4 linked regions of the Drosophila melanogaster genome follow. Changing the gene in region 3 together with the main gene of any one other region gives a genetic interaction. Each region holds a gene or a part of one and is shown on either strand. Other genes may lie near its edges. The genes, in order: nero, Akt, Tsc1 and S6k.

Region 1 (3,514 bases), 7.6 Mb from region 3:
GAGATTACAGAAAAGAATGCCAAAATTGTGCCGAGCATCAGGAGCTTCATGTGTTCGCCGTTGCAAAAAAATCCCGAATACGAAATGCCGGCAAGGTGAATTGTGGGAAATCGTCAAGTGGTCACACTGGGCAGCCAGCCGCGTTCTTGAGTTTTTGTTTTTGTTGGGCGATTTAAAGGATAGGAAAATACTTGTTATTTAAATTCCAAAGCGGAAATTTGAGTGCATTGCTAAAGTATTCATATTTTTTTCAGTTTATAACCGCTCAAATGGGGCTGCCATGTCGCCTTGTACTTTGAATTTCAGAATGTATTCTGAATGCATTTCATCGAATAATTTAAAGCAAAAATAACGAAAACTCAATAGTATTATTTTTAATTACTAGACACATTAAAACATTTAAAAAAAAACAAAGAGTTGCCCACAGTTGATGATAAAATGCCCGTCAAACTAGGATAGTTACTAGGCACTCATTAGCATCAGCATTCCCACCAGTTGATTCATCCATCCAGCAGGTTAATCAAAAACCACAGGGAAGTCACGTTCAAATTTCTTTTTATGTCTCGATAAGATTAGGTCCATGTGATCACAGAAGTGACAAAACAATACAAGTTTACGACTAATATATACACAGCTGGTAGATGCAAATGTTCGGCGAAAATCACTTGGTCGCGTCTAGTTTGGCTAGGCCGTCGGCATATTGGAACTCCGGACTGTTCTCGTACTCGCACATGTCCAGGGCGATGACGCAGCTCTCCTTGACCACGCGCTTGTCGTCCTCGGCGTAGCGGTTCAAGATCTGAATGCAGTCCTCTGTGGCGATGGCGCCAAGGGCCTCGGCACACTCGTGACGCACCATTTCGTTTTCCAGGCGATCCTCCAGATTCTCTTGAAGGAAGGGAATGCTGCAGGGTTCTTGCAGCTGGCCCAGTACGAAGGCCACCTCGTGGCGGAAGAGGGCGGAAGAGTCCTTAAGTCCCTCGGCAATGGCCAAGACACTCTCTTCGGTGCGCAGATTGCGCAGGCTGAACATGGCCCTATATCGATCGAACAGGCTCTGCTGGGCATCCAGATAGATGGCCTTCAGCTCGGTGACGCTCTTGTCGCCCGCAGTTGGCGGTGAGGGATCAACGGAGGCGTAAGGGTTGCTGTCATCTACCTTTTGGCCACTCTGCAGCCAGCGGACGCGGTCCAGAGCAATGGCACATGTTTCGGCCACCTCCACTACCGGATCTTGTTTGTACTCCTCCAGAATTGGCAGCACATCTGGATGACCAATGGCGCCCATGGCCTCCGCAGCCTCGTGGCGCACCATCGGCTCCTGGGTGGTGTCCTTTAGCACCTTGGTGAGGATGTCTAACGCCTGTGCGTCCTGCATCTGACCCAAGCAGTAGGCCAGCTCATGTTTGAGAAGGGCCGAATCATCGTCAAAGGCTTTGCTGATCGCCTCGATGGCCGCTCCTCCGCCGATGTTCTTCAGCGTGAAGAGGGCTCGAAAGCGCTCTTTCAGTGGGCGTTCCTTGTTGTTCAGAACGCCTCCAATGGCCTCGATTTGCTGCTGCGAAACCATTTGTATGCGGTGTGGACTTATAAATAAAAAACTGCAACGGGCCGCGTGTGGTGTCGCAATGTGGCCATACACTCAGTACTTGGTAATACCAAAACTACAAGTAATCGATATGACGTGGCTATCGATGGACTATGAGTCGATGAAACGGCGCTGCCAACGCGTTTAGAGTACAAATTGTGCAGCACTAGCAAGAAGCAGTTTAGTTACGTTTACTCCGTAGAAGCGCGATACAAAAAAGTCAATAAAAGGGTGAAAAGCGAACGTTCTAGACACAGAAAGTATTCAAAAATACTGACTCAGTCCTGGCGCAGCATCGGTGACCAAAAGAGCGGCTCTTCACGGTGAAAAGTTTCCGCAAAATCGGCATTTCTGAAAGTTGCGCGTTCACGGTATGCGAAGCGTGGCGTGTGTGTCGAGTTGAGTTACCTGTAATTGTGTGCGCCTGCGAGAGTGGAAGTGGAGTAAACCTCGCCACCGTTTTGAAGTTTTGGAAAGATATAGGGATAACCGCCCAGCGTTTATTTTAAACAATGTCGGAGGCAACTGTGGCCCAAAAGCCGGAGGCGGTGGAAGATGTGAATGCGTCGACGGGGGACGAGAAGCAGACTCCCGTAAGTAGCCGCACATACACATATTTAGCGACAATTAACATAGCACGGCGATAACGCACACCAACACGGGCTCCGCTTTGCTTTGCCCGAATTATCTGCGGTATTTTTCCAAAATAACTGTGTGTGTATATGGGCACTCGGATGTGGTGCATTTTCACCATTTCCCTTTGTGCGCTGTGTCCGTTTCTATTTACGTTTCTTTTTTCAACGGCTACCCTCGTGTGCGCGCGCTTTTTGCTTTTTCCTGTCCACTTTCCAACTCCCCCTTCCCCCGCCTGCTGAGGAAGCCAGCAGCATGTGTGCGTGTGTGTATACGTGTGTAGCTACTCGCCGAAGAAGAAGAGAAGAGGAGATGACGAGAGAAGCAGGGCAATCGGCGATTCCCTTTCAGGCTCACGTTTTGCCGCTGCCGCCGCGTCTCGTTTGTTTTTATTTTTGCTTGTTCCCTTTTCGACTTTTTGTTGTTTGCTGTACTTTGTCATACAAGGCGGCACGAACACTTGCATCCGCTCCGCGGTGTTGTGCATGTGTATGTATGCGATACGTTGCGCTCTAGATTCGGTTCCATTTTTTAGCGGCGACTTTACTAATAGATATACGTACGTACACATCGATGTCTAACTCAACTCCTCCGATCGACAGCTATTAATGTGGGGGTTCATTTGGGGTCTGTTGTGTGAATTCAGCTGCAAGCGGGTCGATGCGGGTGCAATTGCTGCGGTCACTTGGCCATGTCAACAATAGTACAGTGCGCACTTGGATTTAAACGCTTAATTATTGCCGATAAGAGTTTAAATATAAATACATGATTCTGTTTCTTCTATATAATTGTATTTTTGAGTCACTAATAAAGCGCCGTGGTTTCAGCCCATCTTGCACATGTTTTGGTGTTATAGGGAATGCACTTTTAACTACAATGTTTCATATGACGAAACATTAGTGAATCAGAAAAATATGGAATATCAGGTATATTAAAAAAATAAAAAAAAGGCGTAAAATAGCATCTTCATTCCCTCAAAGACAATTGCGTTTTGGCGGGAAATCAAACTTACAAAAGTAGCACTACTGCTTATGTATACTGAAATATAACTTACCGAACCCGATCTCTCCTCTATTACAGAAACGCACTCCCAAACGCCGCTCGTTCATTGAGCGGGCGCAGAAGGAAAGCGAGGAGCTTGTGCGAACAATGGGCGGAAGCCTGGAGCTGGCGGGCGGGCGGCGGACGCGGTCTAGCACTCGAGGAACGCCGACGCGAGCCGCCGAGGCAGTGACGCCGCCACCCAGCAAAAAGGCGCGCACTTCGCCGGCCTCGGCCACAAAGGCCAGTGCA
Region 2 (7,687 bases), 8.0 Mb from region 3:
AGTTCGTGTAAGTTTTTGTTTTTTTTTTTTTAATCGAAACCAAAAATTGTCTCACACAACTCAGTAAACTTAGACAACTATTTTGAAAGGTCTCTTTCGTCCCCTTCGACGGGTAGAAAATGCTTCGATTTGGGATACCAGAGATGTTGACGTTCACTAAGGCTAGTATTCAATTTGCTTCGGATGTCCCTAACCGATTTCTAAGTCTTTGCTTTAGATTTCTAGCTGGTTGCCCCTTGGCTGGCAGACTTGCCTAACGAGTCTGTCAGAAGGGTTATTGGGCTTGTTGAAGTCGATTCTCGGGTTGTATGTCTATTAAGCCATGCTTAGGGGTTCTATATTTTGTCTATGTATTGCTTGATCGATCTGAGATTGATATTGGCTAGCCTAGATGTCAGCCGCAAACTTGGTGAGCAGAAAGCAAGGACTTTAAGCTGTTCAAGGATATAAAGATTGGTTCAATCGGAGCTATCTGATATCTCTCCTCAGCATAGGCTGGCTTTAGCTAGTTAGTTCGTTCCTAGTCATGATTTGGAACCATCATCGTCACATGTCCAAGACTCCAACCGAAACATCCCGACTTGCTGGCTCCTCAATTCTCGGTTCTCCTCGAGTTCCACCTAACTTCGCCGCTTCTTTGGCATTTTCTTTTCGTTTCTATATCCCTTCGTTTTCGATTTGCTGTTTATTGTAATCATCGAGTGATAGGTTTCGTTTAACATTTAGAAGAGAGATTATGCTTTCAATTTCTTTGTTTTCAGTTGAAATTCCCGAACTTGATTTTATTTAATAATTTTTATTTACAATATTTATTTTGTTTTCTTTACGAAATATAAAATAACTTTTTGTTTCGTTTTATTCTTGATTTTTGTTTTTATTGCGCATATAAAAATATCAAAAATTCTTTATTTTCTTTTAGGTTTTTTTTCTGTTTATATAATTTTTAATCTTCCTTTTGGAACTATTTGTAAGTCTGTTGTGGTTGATTTATATATATTTTTTGCTGACTTGCTCTAAGTATACAAAACTTGTTATGAACTTTTCAATGCCAAAAATGAAATGACAAAGATACATTTTTTATTGTGTCAAAGGTTAAACCTTTTCTGTGGCCTCAAATGGTGACTTCCATTTTCCACACGACACATACATCCTTTGTTTTTTTTTTGCATTTACTCTTGAGTTTTTGCTTTTTTTTTATAAATATTTACAAATATATATTTTTCGTAAAAAATTATAATAAAAAATGGCGTCAATTGTAATCATTTTGCTGTTGCCGTTATTGTTTCGAAATATGTTTCTGCCTGAATATAACTTTTAGTTGCTTGCTAATTATTGGCGCCTATAAACTGCATTGATGTATGTTTCCCTCGTTTATTAACTATTAGTTTGTTTGTTTCTGTTGTTGTAGTTTTGCATAAAGCACAGCACATTAGAGGCAATTTTAACATTATATATAACTTGTAATTGTTTCTGTTTCTTTTTTGCTTCTTTGGAGTATAAATAATTTATATATACGAGTGTTGCATGTGGGGGCGGTTGTTGAATATGTGTATTTCGATTTGTTGCTGTCAAGTTAACTAAACTTCATGTTCGCTATATGCTAAGTGGCTGTGTGAGTGCTGTCTGCGTGAATAATCTGTATAATCAATCAGCTTAAGCGACCCCTAGAGGATGCGATCCGATGATGCATGCTTTATCCTAGCACTAAGTCGCTCTAAGTCGCTTGGTTAAATGTTTTCCTTGCGTTTAAAATTAACTAATCACTTCAAGCGCTATGCCCCAAGTGTTATATTTAGTTGTATATATAATTATATATATATATATATATATATTTATATATATGTGTATAATCATATGTAGTAAATTATTTTCCTCGGCTTCGGCTGTTGCCCTTTCGTTCAACGTTCCCTTTCTCATTATACAAAAATAAGTTACTATCAATTCAATTCTCTTATTATTGGTGTATATAAACTAGCAAGAAAACCCTTTGCTTGCCTTCGTTATCATGGTATAATTAATATTTAATATATTCTTGCTGTTGTTTTCTTTTGCCCATTTCTATGTGTTATAGGTATAGTATAGTAATAGGTGATGAAGCAGAACATGATGTGTGCTGGTAAAAGTTTGTAAACTTGTTCTATTGCATCGATGCGAGACTTGTGGAAGTACTAATGTGCGACGAGGTGCCCAACGTGGAGGCCATGTCTCCTTGGTAGCTGAACTGTGGCGGTGAAACCAAAAATTGGATGAGCATACAGAACCCCACTTTAAATGTTTTCAACTAGATCTTACCTGCGGGAAAAGCGGCTCTTCGGCTATGGAGCCCAACGGGCCAGTGGGATCCGGCGGCGTCAACTCCACACTCTCTCCCGTAAACTCCTTGTCGAAGTACCTTGTATCCGTATCGGATGTCACCTGAGGCTTGAAAGGCGGCGGTATCTACGGTAAGCATTTTAAATTCGATTAATATATACGAATAGGTAACTGACAGATTTACTGTGCCCTACTTTTTTCAACACTAGATCTGTCCAGTTAATACTCGCAAAGAATGGATGTGCTTGTATCTCCTTGACATCATCCTTTCCACCTCCCAAACGCTTTTTGGGATCCTTAGCTAGAAGGCCTGCTAACAGATTTTTCGCCTCATCTGTGATATTACGCGGGAATTTTACCTCCTCCACCAAAATCAATGTAAAGAGCACATCATGATCACGATTGTAAAACGGAAGACGACCACAGATCTGTAAGGAATTATTTTTGTTTTTAATACTTGTTAATAGTATTTGCAGATGCAACAAACTCACCATCTCGTACATGACCACGCCAGTGCCCCACCAGTCCACCGCTTGGCCATAATCATTGTCATCTAATACTTCCGGAGCTAGGTATTCCGGTGTACCGCAGAAGGTTTTCGTTGTGCGGCCGTAGGTGATGTCCTCCTTGCACAGACCGAAGTCTGCGACCTTTATGTGACCATCTTTGTCCAGCAAAAGATTTTCCAGCTTTAAGTCGCGATAAATTATGCCCTGTGAATGCAGATAGCCCAGAGCAGAAATGATCTCTGCCCCATAGAAACGTGTTCGATCCTCAGTAAATATGCGTTCGTGGCTTAAATGCCAAAAGAGCTCGCCACCGTTCACGTACTGCATCACAAAACACAGGCGGTCGTTGGTTTGAAACGAATATTTGAGTGACTGCAAAACAGGGAAGACATATATTAGTTTTTTAACGTAAATTATATATTACTAGCAATACTTACAATGAGGAACGGATGATTTGTGGACTTGAGCACACGACTCTCGGTCAGGGTATGGGCCACCTCGTCCTTTTGGATAATAACTTCCTTTTTAAGAATTTTGATCGCGTACAGCTTGGCGGTAGCCTTCTCGCGACACAAAATAACCTTACCAAAGGTGCCCTTGCCGAGCACCTTGAGGAACTCAAAATTCTCCAAAGTCTACAAGGAGATAAGATGGAGTCAGCTCGATCACGCCCTTGGTCAATGACCAGGTGAGTGGTACTTACCACTTTCTTAACGCCGCTGCTATTACAAGTCGTTCCCTGTACGGAGAACTGCTCGGAAAGCTCGTCCTCGGCAATGGTGGCCATGTCCACGTCTGTCATGTCTGTCTGTTCAGATGGCGTCATAGCCACCTCACCCACATCTATGAGCCGGCTGGATACGTTGCGAATGGCCTCCGTCCACTGCTGGCGCTCTAATTCTGATTCGACGGCAAATGTCCTTTCGATTACCGTGGTCCATTGCAGGCCGCGGATGATGAAGGTGAATGGCTTGGGCCGATCGACGGTCATGATCTGGCAGCCGCGCACCGTAAAGTTGTTGAGCAGGAAGTCCGATGGCGTGCTGGCACTATCTGCCGGCTTGCTGCGGTAACCCATCAGTCTTCCATCGGAGTGGAGCACGAAGTAGCGCTGGCGCCAGTTCTTTATGTGCTCGCCCCTCTTCATCAGCCACCCCTCCTTTACGACCTGAGTCTGTTCCGTAAGCGCATGACCCGATGTAACGCTGGGCGAGCTGAGGTCGAAAGTTGTGTTTATTGACATGGTTCCGGAATCGTGTGTAGGGGCCGCGGAGGTCCTGCTTGGCCAGGATTGCTGCCAGCTGAATTTCTCTGCACTGCCGCTGGTGGGGCTGCTGTTTGGATGGGTGGATTGGCTGTAGATGATGTTAATGATGTTGCTCCCTGTGGTGGTGGGCGATTCCGGGATCCTAGAGGCAGATCCTGGCGCTGGGGCGCTGGCAACCACAGTCGATCGCCGCTGAAGAACAAACGGTAGGTAATTCGTGTTGAGGCTGTTTCACTAACCCTAGGGACAAGCTAATGAGGGACCTGTAAGAGGAGTACAGTGAATCCTTTATATTCATGCTGAGTTTGAAATACTTAAACTAAGAATGCGATCGACGAAAAGAAAAAGGCTTTAGCAGAGGGTTCGTCTAGTAACACCTTTACCTTCAGGGATTCAACATGTACTAGATATTAACTGATCCGCCAACTGTCGACATAAACTAGTCAAAGTGGACAAATGGAGTTCCCAAATGAGCTAGCTATCAAAAAAGGGGAAACAGACACTAAAAGGCTGCCAAGTCTATCCAGATATATACTTCCCACATCGCCTATCTCACGCTGATAGTAAACAATTGTTATTGTCATTTTGCATGTTTATGACAAATGCAGTTGGCGCTTGCGTCAGCAGCTGGTGCAAAACATTTGCGGCATTTCCGTCGCCAGAAAGGGATTGAATTGGATTGAGGACTGTGATTCTGATTGTATCGAATTGGATGGGTTGGTATGGTGTGGCATGGTATGGGATTGGATTCTTAGTCACTGGCCCACATGCAGATGTAGGCGCCATCGTCGCCTTGTTGTTGCTGCCACTTTCGGCTTCAAACGAAATTCCCCGCCATGTTACGCAGCGACACGGCGATACGAGTGAAAATTGTTCGCGATTGCATTTAGCGCGAAATTAAATCAAAACAAGTCGACGGCGGCGACTGTTCATGAACTTATGTATATGCATATATAATACATACATATACATATGTACACATACAGGGGACTCGCAGGCGGCACTCGCACTCGTACTCGCACTCACACTGGCACAACTGCAAAAGCAAAAGCATATTCATTTACAATTTGCGAAAATGTCAACGACGGATGGCCGCCGGCTGTACAAATGTCGCTATCTATCTAAAACTGTAAACAAATGTACATAAAATAAAAATCGACAAAATACACACACAGGCATAAGCGGACAGGCGCTCGCACACCGAGGCAGTCACACAGACAGGGCTGCATTGCAAAGTGCGAGTGAGGCCAGACTGTGGGTGCGAGGGGGAGGGAGACAGACAGTACGCGTGTCTGCCACAAAGGTGTATGAGTGTGAGTGTATGTGTGAGTGTCTGGCCGTGTGCGTGTGATTGTCTGGCCGTGTGGGTGTGAGTGGCTGAGTGAGTGAACCACCGAGTGTGCGAGTGTGTGTGGGCAGCGGCGACCTAGCAGCGCAACATGTCAAATCACTTCGTGGAAATGGAAATTGTGGAAATGCTGGTGAAAAATACAAGAACCCACCTAGTTTTGTAAAAAAAAAAACCCGACTTTTGCTTTCCCTACTGCACTGCGGTTTGTTTTCCTACTCGTTTTGGTATTTTCCTTTAGATGGTGACGGCAGCGACAACGTCACAGGCCTTCTTATTATTGTGCGTGTGTTGTTGTTGCTGCTTGCTATTGTTGTTGTTGCTGCTGCTGCTGTAGTTGTTGTTGTGTTAAGGTGCCAGACACCAGAGGACGGAACGAAACACACACAATCTCGCACTCGCGCACTGGAAGTCGATTTCCGCCACCCGGGCGTTTCCACTTGGTGTTTTCTTGCCTTCCAAAGCAACGTTGCATCAATTGCAAATGCTTAAAAACGTAGTTTTCATAAACAGAAGCACGCACACAGGCAAAGTAAATTTTCCAAGTACCGTTTAGTTTTTACGCTTCACTTTTTTTCGATAACTGGCTCGATAACTGATTCGATCCGCGTTGCCACCTGTTTTAGCGATAGTTAGGCGACTGTTACGGTGGAAAGATGCCAGAGAGAGACATTATTTAAGAGCTGTACAACGCGCAAATATCCCTTAAATTTAAATTAAATGTTTTAGAAGGCAATAGTTCTGTTTTCTGACTGTCTAGGCCGACTCTTTAACTAGAATTCACTTCAAATTTGAATGTATGAACTGCAGATTAATAATAATGCTGTATTGTTATTAAATTCATTTTTAAAAACTTTATTTTATATGCTATGTATACAAAACTATTTCTTATATCGACAAATTGTTATAACTTTTCAAAGCATAATTGATCAAAAATTTGGAAGCCCTATCAATTTTATATATGGTTCCTGTCCGCACTAAGTAGATACTCTGATAAGTATGACCATGTGTAAGTAGCTAGAAAAAGTCAGTTCTCTTTTCCAGTTTCCCAGATCAAATTTGATATTCACCTCTTTGGGCACTCTTGCTCAGATTTGTTTATGCAGAACGCGAAGTCTCCTTTGAATCCGAAAAAAAAACAAAAAACGAGTAGCGAATAAAGTGCCCCATTGGCACAAAACGAGGTAAATAACTTGCAACCCAATCGGAAGGGAGAACATAGCATGCCACTTTCAAATAAACAAATAACGACTCCAGCGCGACTGTGTGTGCGTGAGTCCCTCCCAATGTTTGTGTGTGTTATCAAAAAAGGCGTAGAAAAGTGCAAAAACAAAGGTGTTATTGACTCTCAACTTTCTTTTTCTGCCTATCGTGTGTATCACTGTGGGCTGTGGCCGAATAAGAGCGTTCGCCGAATATGAGCAATTGGAAAAGCATGAGCATAAGTAATGAGGCAGAATCGGTTGCATTCAATTAGTTGGAGAAATGAAAAATATGAAGAGATGGTGTAGAGAGAAGGGAAGAGTGCAGTCTCGAGCAATCAATACCAACGCAGCCACGAGCCCCCCTTTCTTTGTGTGTGTGTGTGTTACCGTGTGAAAACAAAACAAATGTATGCTAGCTGTGGAAAAGAAAGCGCATAATTGAATAATAAATAATAACAGAAACAGGGCAAATGGCAACGACTCAATGACAAAAGTAAAGCCGCCACCGCAGCAGAAGAAATGTGGGTGCAAAAGTGAAGAAATATGCCATTGTTTATGTGATTTGCAAATGTGCACATTCACACAAACACCGTGGCAAGATAACGGTTGTTGTGCGGGCGGGTGCATTGCTCGAAGTGGCTGTGCAATTGTAAGAGCGAGATAGCAATACGAAGAGAACAGGACTGAGCAGTACAGGGGCGAAATCCAGGGGACCTTAAACGTGGATTATGGGCACCTTAAATGTTTTTGTAAAATCAAATCACATAAATACCGTACTTTAAACTATTCAGTGAATTAAAATTGTGTTACTGATTTTAAAAATGTAAGTTGTAATTTCAAGTTTGGAAATGAACGGTATGCCCTGCACGTTTGTCTAGATCCACCCCTGGATAGAGCGCAGCAAAGAGAACAGTGCAAATCGAATTAGTCCAGACTTTTGGTCACGCCCTTGAACTTCGCATTAACCCACCAACGCCCCCCTTCCGCAGCTAGCACCTAAGGACCCCACACACCACATAAGATGTTCAACTTTATGAAGAAGAGC
Region 3 (6,755 bases):
TTCTCCTGGCGCAGTGACTCCTCTAGCCGTTCGCACTTGCTTTGTTGCTTCTCCTGCAGGATCTTTAGGTCCTTAATGGTCTGGATGAAGGTATCGTGGAGGGCCACAGGATGAAAGTCCTCGCTGTTCTGGAGTTCATTGTTGGTGCGCCAAGTCAGACGCTCTATGAACTCGCCCACCTCAAAGGGTTCCTGTTGGTTATGATTAATAAATATAAGCCATAATCGGGCCTACGTGACCTTTGAGCCCACCTGTTCAAACTCCTCCATGTATTGGGATAGCATTTTAATGTATTATTAAGTTTTCGTATTTAAATGATCTGATTTAATAGGCGTTTCTTTTCTGCTTCTTCTTTCTATATTATTGTTGCTTCCGCTCAGCTGTTTCGTTTAAGGTTGCCACACTTCTCACTTTCTTTCAGCTGGCAATGTCGCTCGGTTTGTTTACGTTTTTGTTTGCTCTCTTAGCTAAAATTTAAATGTTTGGCGGTTGTTATATAACAAATAGTATGTTTACAATTAAATAAAATAAAACAATGCTTTTATGTTTGCTGATCTTAATCAAATGTTTATTATAATATGAATGCGCGTCTTACTTATTGCCTCGTATCAAAACCACTTTTTTACAACAAATTGCAATGTGCTAAACAAGTTAAAATTTCAAACATTAATATTTTTTATAACCTTTATAATTATTGCGTGGAGTCAGCGATTTATTAAACCTTAGTTACAGTTTTGAACTGAATATGAAAATATGAAGAACCAATAACTTTTTTTTGTAAATTTTCTGTGCGGGTTTTCCCAATAGACATTTGTTTAGCGAAGGAAAGCTAGTTCTTATTTGTTTTTACAAACTGCGTCTGCTGCTACTACTGCAGTTGATCCTGTTGCTGTTGCTGCAGGTGCAGGTGCGGATGCGGATGTGGGTGGGTGAGCGTGTGACCGATGCCGCCGGAGGTCGACGGCAAGTCCAAGGCGTGCGGCACGATGTTGATGGCACTGGCGGTGCTTGCCGAGGAGGCCAGATCCACGGCCGGCGGACGCACTTCGTCCTCGAACTGAGCGCCACCGGCCATGCTGTTCAGCACATCCGGAATAGTGGGCGTGTCCACTAGCTGGTGCAGGTTCTTCAGCTCCGTGGAGCGTAGGCTGGCGGATAAGCTCTCGCTCGAGGCCAGCGACGTGGATAGCGGTGAGTTGCGTTCAATGGATGAAGCTATGTCTGTGGGAGAATGCAATAGTAAGTATTCTTTAGCTGCGAAGCAGCTCTTGCACTCACCAGTTCTGTCCGTGTCCGGGGAACAGGTGTTATGACCTGTTGTTCCTTGCGGCTGCTGCATCATCATCATCAGCTTCTCCTCCATCTGCATAATTATCTTCTTTTGCACGTCATACTTCTTGTTCACGGACTGCAAGGACGACGATTTTTAAGGCTTATTACTCTTAATTGAAATGAAGTTACTGGTAAACACAGACTATTTCTTAAAAGTCCGAACTATTTCAGATAAGTATACGATTTTAAATATCAGCCCTACCTTAAACTTTTCTTCGTACTCATCCTTGACGGTGCTTAGAAGTCGCTTTTGCTCCGTCATGGCCTTCTCGCTGTTGGCTAGCTGGGCCTGCAGGTCGCTGATCTTGTGCTTCATGCTTTCCAGCTGTGATGTCTTCTCGTCCAGGCTGTGCCTCAGATCTTAATAAATAAACTGAATGATTAAACATCCGTATCATATAAACAATGAATAGGCACCCTTCAGTTCCAGGTTGCTGCTCTCTTGTAGCATCTGCAGTTCCTCGTCGCGGGCCCTGAAGTTATCGATCTCAGCCAGACGGTCGCGGCAACGCACTTGCACCTCACCCATGATAATAAACTCGGCCTCCAGTCGTGCCAGCTCCTGCTTGCACTGCAGCCCAATGTCCGCCTGCTGCTGGGTGTGTTGAAGCTCGGTTCCCAAACTGAAGACCTGACCTCGCAGAGACTCCAGTTCATAGTTCATCTCCTTGTGGCGCGCCAACTCGCTGGTGAGTCGCGTCTGCAGGTCATCGTTTGCCTGCCGCAGGCACTTCTTTTCCTCCAGTTCGTGCTGGTACTTAGCCCTCATTTCGCCCAGCTCCTCCTGGTGGATGTTCTGGCGCTCGTTGGCCAACCGAATGGCCTGATCCATTTTGTTTGCCAGATCCTTGTTCTTCGCATCGAAGTTCTTAAGCTGCTCCCTTAACCGATCCCGCTCCATTTCCAGGCTGCGCTTGTCCCTGCTTCGCCCCATGAGTCGTCGATTGCGCTCTGCGTGAATGGATCGACGGTAGCTTTCGTATTCCAGCTGTAGGCACATCAGTTGACCCTGCTCGGCGTCAAAGGACTCATTGGCCTTGATCGCATGCTTAATGTATTCGTCTAGAATATCTTGCGGGTACAGAAGGTTCCTTTCATAGTCGATTCTTTGCTCCTTGCACTCCAGCAGGAGTTCAATAAGCCAATTCTCGTACTGCGCTGGAGCACTGTCCAGTCCTTCCACCGTCTGGGTGGAGGCATGGGTGCAGCTTCTAGCCGTATCCTTGGGCGCCGAAATGGCCAGGTTCCGGCCGCTCCTCTGCAGGCGGCTGCCAGTCTTTTGCGTATTTCCATTCTCCCCTCTTTGTCTTTGGCTCGAACAATCGGCCTCGTCATCATTCTCCTCCAGATGCTGCTGCCGCATTCCGGAAAGGGCCGAGCAGGATTTGGTTCGTCGCATTGGGTTCTCTGCCTCAGTACTCCAACTTGCCTTCTTTGCCGCCGAACTTCTGCTGTCCGCACAGGAACCATTTCCACTGTAGCTTGCCATACGATTGCGGCGCTTCTTTGCCAGCTGGTGCATGGATCGGCTGGTGGGCATATGAAGTCCACCCACACTGCAGAGGTTCCTATCCGTCTCGTTGCACTCGCCACAAACTGCAGCGACCTCCTGCGTGACAGATGGATAGACGGAACCACCAACAAGGGATAAATCGGAGTTAATTTCTGGCAGGCTGCTTGGACAAGGTGTGTTTACAGATCGCTCCACGTTATGCCTGTCCTGGATGACCTGCGACAGGCGACGGTCATAGGCAGTTCCTCTGTTGACCTCCAGATATGAGTGGCTGCTCTCCTCCGCCTCGCGAGAGACATCCGGGAAACTGAACTGACTCTGCTGGTCCTTGCGCATGGGTGAAGAAGGCTGGCTTACGGCGAAGATAGCTCTCACAGCATGCGAATTGACCGCACGTCCCGGCTGCTTGATATCCCTCATATCCTTTAAGGGGGTGGTTTCCGGTGTGGCCTCCACAGCTGCTTCGGGCGGTGAGGAGCCAGTCATGCCAACCATAAGCTGAGAGTTCATAGCCGGTTGTAGTGGCAAAATAAACGATGTGGTGGGTGTAAGCGGTATGCCGCTACTGGTCGTGGCAATCTCGTTATGCGGACTCCAGATCGGACCCACATCATCACCCGAGGCAAACGAATCGAAGCGGGTGTAGACATTTCTCGATTGCTGAAACTCCCTCAGCTGATAGCTGTAGTCCGTATTCGAGGTATTTGAAGTCATGCGACTGTATCCTGGCGTCATGGGATACGCATAGCTGCCGTCTTCGTTGCTCGTCTCGGGCAAGAGGACGGGCAGCGATAGGTTGGCGCACTCCATAACCACGTCATGCGGCTCCATCTCCTTCCATCGCGTATTGTTTACCTCAGTCTCTGGCGTGGCCGTCACCAGCATGGGATGCACTCGCACAGTGTTCAACAGCGGCTTGATTGTATGCTGGAAGATGCCCCCGCCGTTGCCTCGCTTGATGAACTCCACTAAATAGGCAATAAAGCTGCACGGATACATGCCGTACAGGCGGTGAAATAGCATCTGTAGACCCAACTGCAGGTGGACGAGCTTCTCGTCCGGCAGTTTATTGCTATTCTGCAGCTTCCACGAGGCCAAATGCCCGAACACCTCAAACAGATCGTTAAGAAAGTTGGGCACAGAATTCGGTATGATCGGCAGCAGAGTAATTATGCACAACAGGGCGCTCATCAGCGGAACTATCTCCTTCTCGTGCTGTCAGAGAAATGGAAGTGATGCTGAACTCGGACAAAATTGTAAACACCCATAAACTCACCGTCATAAGCTTAAAAACACTTTTGATCAGCCGGTGTTTCTCGATCTTGTACAGCCAAGTAGGGTGATGGCGCACAATGAAGCAGAACACCTGGAGGCTCTGCACTCGGTGCTGCGACTGCTTTAGGCAGTCGTCCAGCTTGTCAAAGATGTACCCATCGTGAGGTGCCTGGGCTTTGACCAGTACCTCCAAAATGCGCTGAGATCCAGTTGTAAAGAAGTAGTCCAGCATGAACTTTACCACCCACTGCTCCTTGTCTGTGGGGAAATGGTATGTTGGAATAGGTGGCATATTAACTGAAACTGGCGAGGACTCACTCTGGGATAGCAACTCCACAAGCTTGCGCTTGGCCTCCTCGTTCTCCAGCGTCATGTTGGACTCCAGGTCACCAATGATCTTCTCAATCACCATGACGGCGGCTTTATTGGTTTCCTGTCGCTATGATTGATTTTTCCGCCCGCCCTCGGTCGACTGTTCCTGCTCCTGCTACTCCGCTCCTGGTCCTTCTACTCCACTCACTCGTCGTCGTGGTTGTCTTTTGCAGAGCTGCGTGTGCTTTTTCTCGTCTTGGTCGCTGTGAACTGGAGAACAAGGGTTGGCATTGAAATTCCCACTGCGTTCGATGCACTGCACTATTGTTTCGGTTGTGGAGTGCACATTTAAAATGCTTACCTCTGCTAAACTCATATTTTTTTACATGTTTGTCTTGAAAATGAAAAGGTTATTTTTTTGTGATATTCCTCTTGCGCTGTTATCGCCAGCCAATCGATGGTTTTGTCTGGCAACGCCGCTGGCGAATGTCCGGCAGCTTTGGCCGCAATCAAAACAACATCAGCTGTTTTGGCGCAACTTTTTGCCAATTCCGGTGCGAATGTTATAATCGATGTAAAATAATGCATTACTCAATAATCCGAAAACTGGTAACGGCGCCAAAGCTAGCCAACGTTCCCAAAAGGTAATTATGTGAATTAATATTATAAGGATTCATTCCAACGCTCTGAATTTCAGGAAATGGAAAAGCGTTGTGGGTTTGGAGGTGCACGCACAGATTGCCAGTGCGTCCAAACTGTTTTCCGGCAGTGGCACATCCTTTGGAGCACCACTTAACTCTTCGGTGGCGTATTTTGATGCCTCCATACCGGGAACATTGCCAGTGAGAATAGGTACTCTCACTTAAGACGCCATCATTACATTGTATCCTCTGCTTTTAGGTTCTCAACAGAAAATGTGTGGAATCCGGCATTAAGACATCACTTGCTTTGGGATGTCGGGTGAACGAAGTGTCCATGTTTGACCGCAAGCACTACTTCTATGCAGATTTGCCTGTAAGATTCAAATTTCAGTTTACACCACGCTAAGCCTTATAAGTAATAAACTTCTCCTCCCCAGAATGGCTACCAAATCACGCAGCAGCGCGCCGCTTTGGCCAATGATGGAAAAATGACTTTCCCCGTGATAACACCAGGCAAAAAAGTTTACTACAAGACCGCCAAACTACTGCAGTTGCAATTGGAACAGGATAGTGGTAAATCTCTGCACGATGATTATCTCAAAAGGAGCCTGGTTGACCTTAATCGTGCTGGACTTCCTCTAATGGAGCTGGTTTTTGCACCAGATTTAGAAACGGGCGAAGAAGCGGCATCGCTGGTCAAGGAATTAATACTGATACTAAGGCGTCTGCAGACATGCAGTTGTAAAATGGAAGGTGAGTCAAAAGGGATTTGTGTGCCTTTTTTTAAACCGAGTATTTTTTATTGTAGAGGGCGCCCTGCGTGTGGATGCCAACATATCCATTCACCAAGAAGGCGATCCCTTGGGAGTCCGCACCGAAGTAAAAAACATTGGCTCGGTTCGAAGCATTTCGCAAGCAATTACGTATGAAATTAATAGACAGCTAGAAACTGTGGCTAATGGCGGTGTAATTACAAATGAGACTCGCAACTGGGATGCGGAGAACCGGCGCACAGTGGCCATGCGTGACAAAGAGGTGCTGCAGGACTACAGATTCATGCCGGAGCCGAATCTACCACCCCTTCATGTAAACCTAAAGCCTGGATCAATGTCAACAGAGGATTTACTTTCAGTGGCTGCTCTAAGCGAGGAAATTCCAGAATTACCAGAGGACACCAGGCAACGTTTGGTGGAGCAGCACAACCTGAATGCGGAAACTGCCATCATTTTAGTGGTGCGTGCTCTGATCCTTTTTGAGTCAACAAAAAATTTGAAATTGCAACACTCCTCGATTTTATTTCAGAACGAACCTATTCTGCTGGATCATTTCTTGAGCATTACCCGTAGTTTAAGTGATTTGCCCAACAAAGTCATTTGCAATTTTCTTATAAACGATTTGTTGACCTATTGCAACAAATTGAACTTAGATGTGGAGGATTGGTAATAATAGGGAGTAACATACCTAATGAATTTTACTAATTTATTGTGTTCATCCTAATGTAGCTCCATTAAGGCTGATGATTTGAAAGATATATTAATGAGCTTGCATGCCGAGCTGATAAATCTCCAGGCAGCACGTCAGCTGGTTGATCTGCTTCATAATAACCCCAAAGCGAAAGTCAGTGAGGTAAGCTTCGCCTAATATTCCAAATTTATGAGATTACACACATTATCTTCCCATCA
Region 4 (4,946 bases), on a different chromosome or scaffold from region 3:
CCTCCGATGTGGCGGCATAGCACTGGCATTACTCACTCTTGGTGCAGATTAATACACAATTCCGGTTCTAGGTCAACCTGCAAATGCGAAAGAGAGACGGAGAGGCGTGTGAGTGAGATGGCGTCTACTTGCGAGCATAACTGCCAGCGGTATACATGCGAAAAAATCAACAATTAATCATAGTTATTGCGAACTTGGGAGCAAACAGCAGAAGGGAAAGTTACACAGCACCGGGCATCGACGAAGACAAGAGGCCCTAAATCTTACAGATACTTCAAAATCAGCCTATACCAGCAGTAATATATATGTGGGTTGCTTAAAGCTAGTAGCCCACAATTTTAATATGCTTTTTTAGTAATAAAAATAGCTCAAGAATCAGTTCTAAAATGGGAAATCGTATATCGTTATATTTTATTTTTCTTGTTGCATGCTTAATCCCCATTCGGTGCTGCCCCACTTTTCAGTTTCGTTTTAAGCAGCGGGAGATTCCGATGAATGGAGAGATCGCATCGGAGTAGTAGTAGGGGCTCGCTCTGGGATCTCGGATGGCATCCGTCTTTGGAGTATGTGAAGCCAGTGAGTTTCTCCACCACCCTTCGATTTGTCCACTACTCCACACGGAGCTTATTCGGTATTTACACAGAGAGAAAGAGCGTGGCATCCACACAGATGTACATTCGTACACTTTCCGCACACGCACACACACCTTTCGCTTAATGACAAACTAAATTTAGAACTCGGAACAATGCCAAATAATCTGCCGGCGATGCTGGCGCTGTTCCTCGTCCCCTCCGGGTCCATTTGCCGCCCCCTCGGACGCGGCTGCTCCAATCGGAGGAAGGCCACAGTTAGGGGCGGCAGATTCAGAAGAATCAGCAGCAGCCGCAGCCGCCGTCGTCGTTCTCGTCATGCCTAAAATTTGTATAGAACATTTTTGACTAAAGTTCAATTGAATGGCGGCATCGGAATAGGAATCCGCATCTCGACATCTCGTCGCGCAGCACATTAAAAACTGGTTCACCTCGTCAGCGTTGGCGGTGAATTTCAATTAACAAATCCATCATAATTTATAGCGTTCATACAAAGTCAGTGGATGGGCGGAGGGAGGGGGTGTGCGCGCTTGCGTAAATCAAGTAAATCGACAGGTCTTGGAAAAGGTGTGCGATATGGTAGTGATAGGTTCTTATCAACACCGAAAAGGTTTCTCCAGCTATGTAATTCCCCCGGGCAGACAAAACCAATAATACACAAAGAAAAATGATAATTACCCAAGAGCTATTCTCTCCCTTTTTAGTAGATTATTTTCGTACTTTTAAGCCATTACTTTACACAATTTGTCTAAAAATAAATCAATTGACATCATAAGATGACGGCATATGTACACACATTGTTGCTAAATTACATATATTTCAGGCCAATTTAGAACTTTTAATATTCGAATTAAGAGTTTTAGCAACTTGCTTTAGCCAAAATGCATTTATTGCGACTAGTATTGAATACGGGAAGTAATTTAAGCGTTTAAATACAAACTTATCAATTTAAGAACCGCTCATTAGCACAATTAGTAATCAGTAATTCGGTACTTAATGACTACATACTATGGAAACTAATATTCTTTTCCAGTGTACTGTGGTGCAGTTACAACTGGTTCCGTATAGCACCACCACCCCAAACACGACGGTTTGGCTCGACGATCGCTCGATTTCGATCTCAATCGCCTGCCTGCCTGCCTGCCCTTTTTCCTTCCATTTTGTTGTGCTCCCTTATCGGCGCGTGGAGGTTTTTCTCATTTTCTAATTTTATATGGCACGCTGATAAGGAATTTCGTTTTCTAAGTGGAAGCTAAGACACTTGCGAGAGTGCGAGCGAGTCGGCGTTCATTTTGGGCCTCCCTCTCCTTCGCACACCACCTTTGCAGTTGTTGCATTATCAGCTGAGACAGGGGCGGTGGCAAGCAGGGGGCTGCCATGGAGTGTGGCGGGCAATTGGGGCTGATTAGTTTGAAGGACACCACCACTGGCTTCGATTGGCCCATATCAATCGAAGGTGGTTTCGTAAGGAGGTTTTCTCTGATCGAGTCGAACTTATGGTACAATGAGTGAGCGCATGTACATGCGCTGAATAATCGGCGACTGGACTGAAACCGAATGACGCCAGACATTTGCGCAGCAGATAAGCCCAGTTTGCAGGGTGTGCGGCTGGTGGATATGCTGGTTCGGGGGTGTGGAATCGGGATGCCCAGACGAGCGAAAGGAAAACTGGCAGACAAAGCGCAGAAAAGGTAAACAAAGAGGGAAATTGTTGCTGCGCAGTTTGCATCGGGGGATGGTGCGGCACGCATTGGCACGGGATGGCATGGAATGGGGGCTATATCTTACATCGTCCAGCTCGATCCTGTCGTCGTCGGAGTCCCTGGCCTTGTCGTCCTGCAGTTCCAGGTCGTGCAGCTCCAGGTCGAACAGTTCGCTGGGATCGCTCACGTCCGCCATTGCGTGCGTGTGTGTGTTTGGGCGAGTGCGATTCTGTTTGGATATGGATATGGGAAGTGGATCGCCGCTGGTCCGCTCCTGAACTGGGCGCTCCTCTCGCGGGGGGGCGGAAGCGCGTTGGCGATTTATTTTAGTCTCTGGCTATGAGTCTCCTTGTTCAGCTGGTTGGTTCAGATGGAACAGTACAGAACAGAACAGCAGCGGTGCCGATTTCGTGGCTTTCGTCGTGGCCCGAAGGTTATTGTTTATTAGTTAATGGCAATACAAATACACACACACATGGGGGCACACGCACCAACACTGCGACGCACGCACAACGCACCCACACTCACGCACACAGACACTGTGCTCAATGCCTTGCCCACGCGCGCCCTTTGAGTCCGCTGATGTGCAAGAAAACGTTGTTGTTCGCGAACGCCTAATCGCAATGCAGTAATCAGTAATTAAAATGCACTTTTTTCTTTGTTTGCGAGTGAAACACGAGGTGATTTGCTGAGTGTGGCCAGTCGTGCGCTAACTGCCAATTGCTAGAAATTACCGAGGCGCAACGAACGGCAATGCCGCGACAAAGTGTGGCCGTAGCAAGCCAAGCACGCGCTAGGAGGACAAAGTGCTACGTACAATTCTTTTAATTTATTTATTTTATGTAGCCAGTGATAGCAACCAAATAGCCGAGTCATGCGCACCGGCTCGCCCAGCAGCAGCGGCTCCCAGTCGGAGGAGGGCAGCAGTTCCTCAGATCACCAGCAGCCGCAGCAGGAAGCCCAGGAGCAGGAGCAACAGCTGCACACTCCCACGCATGCACATGCCGCGGTGCCAGCTGCCACATCGGAGGAGATCCTGGCGGAGTACGGCAGCAACCTGAAGCTACTCGAGTGCAATTCCCAGGTGGCCGAACTGCTGACCATATTGCGCGACAAGTAGGTGACGTTGGGGAGGAGGAGTCAGCAGCGTAGTAGCAGTACAACAAAATTCTACCCCCCAGGAACACCACGCGCAGTGACTTCAAGTTCTATGCCGACCGTCTCATCCGGCTGGTCATCGAGGAGTCGCTCAACCAACTGCCCTACACCCATTGCGATGTGGAGACGCCCACCGGTGCGATTTACGAGGGACTGAAGTATCGCTCCGGCAACTGCGGCGTGTCCATCATCCGATCGGGAGAGGCCATGGAGCAGGGACTGCGTGACTGCTGTCGCTCCATTCGCATTGGAAAGATCCTGGTCGAGTCCGATGCCAATACGCATGAGGCCCGCGTGGTTTATGCCCGCTTTCCCGATGACATCGGCAGCAGGCAGGTGCTACTCATGTACCCCATCATGTCCACGGGCAACACTGTGCTGCAGGCGGTGAATGTGCTGCGGGAACACGGCGTACCCGAGAGCTGCATCATCCTGTCCAATCTCTTCTGCACACCCATTGCCGCTCGGACCGTAGTGAATGCCTTCCCCAAGCTGAAGATCCTCACCTCCGAGCTGCATCCCGTGGCACCTAATCACTTTGGCCAGAAATACTTCGGTACAGACTAGATACTTGGGTCTATCTCGCAGACTTGACGACTAAGCGCTGCTTAGGATAGGTAGCTGTCGCCCAGACAAACGCCCTTTCCTGCGTTGCGCTCCACTAACAAATGCTACCCTCTCTCACTCTGTTTCGTCCTCCAGATTGCATTTGAGACACACAGACAAATAGACGACCCCTGCGGCCAACCAAACTACTACTTAGCAACTGTTAGCTTTTCACAACTGGCTTTTAATGCAACTCTCAAATACGTTACGTTCGTTACGCACTATTGTAAATATAGAAACGAAATAAATATTTAAACATTAGGATGAGGCGGTACTGCCTTTTAAGTGCTCATCTTGTAGTTGACCACGGTGTCCACCTTGTGCAGTCCTGTAGAAAAGGAGCGCAGCTGGACGGCCTGCGGATTCTGTATGACAATGGCACCCGTTTCGTCCCATTTGGCCGGTAATTCGGTGTTCTGCAGCGTGTGAATCATTATGTCGAAGGTGCAGATGCAATCGAGCAGTGGCAAATAGCTCACGGTGGCCGAGATCTGCCGCATAACGTCGCGAATCTCGTTCTGTATGCGACTCAGCTCCTTGGTGGTTGTTGCCTTGGTGGGATCACTGATATCGCCATCGCCCAACTCGGCCTGCATATTAAAGTCCCAGCACTCGAGCACCTCCTTGGTGTGGGCGTTCGTAATGACCATCGAGATCTTGTTGATCATGTTCTTCGAGAGCCATTCTATAGGTGAATACAAATAATGGTCACCATAAACTTGAATTTTTTCCAAAAGACCACTAACCTTCAGTTTGGCTGAGCACGTTCTGCAGAAAGGTCTTGATCTTGGGATCCTTGGACATTAGAATGGTTAGCCCATACTGCTGCGTGTTGTTAAAGTCTTCGGCTGGGTAAATTCCGCGTTGGAAGAGGATCGAATTGATGCCG

The links.
Region 1: of Tsc1 (region 3) and nero, changing one suppresses a phenotype caused by changing the other (phenotypic suppression), as found in Drosophila melanogaster (one study listed by BioGRID).
Region 2: of Tsc1 (region 3) and Akt, changing one suppresses a phenotype caused by changing the other (phenotypic suppression), as found in Drosophila melanogaster (2 studies listed by BioGRID).
Region 4: of Tsc1 (region 3) and S6k, changing one suppresses a phenotype caused by changing the other (phenotypic suppression), as found in Drosophila melanogaster (one study listed by BioGRID).

What each region holds. Positions count from the first base shown.
Region 1 is NT_033777.3:31,745,906-31,749,419, forward strand, and holds nero (nero), read right to left. Parts: upstream 1,654-3,514; 5' UTR 1,571-1,653; coding exon 662-1,570; 3' UTR 540-661; downstream 1-539. Other genes in the region: awd (abnormal wing discs), read right to left, coding at 1-38; CG1910 (uncharacterized protein), read left to right, coding at 2,101-2,181, 3,302-3,514. UniProt on the Drosophila melanogaster protein: Catalyzes the hydroxylation of the N(6)-(4-aminobutyl)-L-lysine intermediate to form hypusine, an essential post-translational modification only found in mature eIF-5A factor.
Region 2 is NT_033777.3:16,097,565-16,105,251, reverse strand, and holds the start of Akt (Akt kinase), read right to left. Parts: upstream 6,025-7,687; 5' UTR 5,592-6,024; intron 4,493-5,591; exon of another isoform or gene 4,473-4,492; intron 4,353-4,472; 5' UTR 4,309-4,352; coding exon of another isoform or gene 4,066-4,308; coding exon 3,526-4,065; intron 3,458-3,525; coding exon 3,260-3,457; intron 3,195-3,259; coding exon 2,805-3,194; intron 2,742-2,804; coding exon 2,508-2,741; intron 2,440-2,507; coding exon 2,293-2,439; intron 2,222-2,292; coding exon 2,138-2,221; 3' UTR 1-2,137. Other genes in the region: Mhcl (myosin heavy chain-like), read left to right, coding at 7,664-7,687. UniProt on the Drosophila melanogaster protein: Serine/threonine kinase involved in various developmental processes. During early embryogenesis, acts as a survival protein. During mid-embryogenesis, phosphorylates and activates trh, a transcription factor required for tracheal cell fate determination.
Region 3 is NT_033777.3:24,128,443-24,135,197, reverse strand, and holds Tsc1 (Tsc1), read right to left. Parts: upstream 4,892-6,755; 5' UTR 4,794-4,891; intron 4,703-4,793; 5' UTR 4,533-4,702; coding exon 4,439-4,532; intron 4,379-4,438; coding exon 4,122-4,378; intron 4,061-4,121; coding exon 1,750-4,060; intron 1,693-1,749; coding exon 1,535-1,692; intron 1,409-1,534; coding exon 1,279-1,408; intron 1,222-1,278; coding exon 869-1,221; 3' UTR 544-868; downstream 1-543. Other genes in the region: Sec10 (secretory 10), read right to left, coding at 1-191, 252-284; GatB (Glutamyl-tRNA amidotransferase, subunit B), read left to right, coding at 5,015-5,076, 5,130-5,274, 5,333-5,446, 5,511-5,826, 5,882-6,306, 6,376-6,512, 6,576-6,699.
Region 4 is NT_037436.4:5,807,912-5,812,857, forward strand, and holds the start of S6k (ribosomal protein S6 kinase), read right to left. Parts: upstream 3,021-4,946; 5' UTR 2,490-3,020; coding exon 2,379-2,489; intron 78-2,378; coding exon 37-77; intron 1-36. Other genes in the region: kri (krishah), read left to right, coding at 3,168-3,409, 3,475-4,007, 4,154-4,164; mad2, read right to left, coding at 4,339-4,742, 4,804-4,946.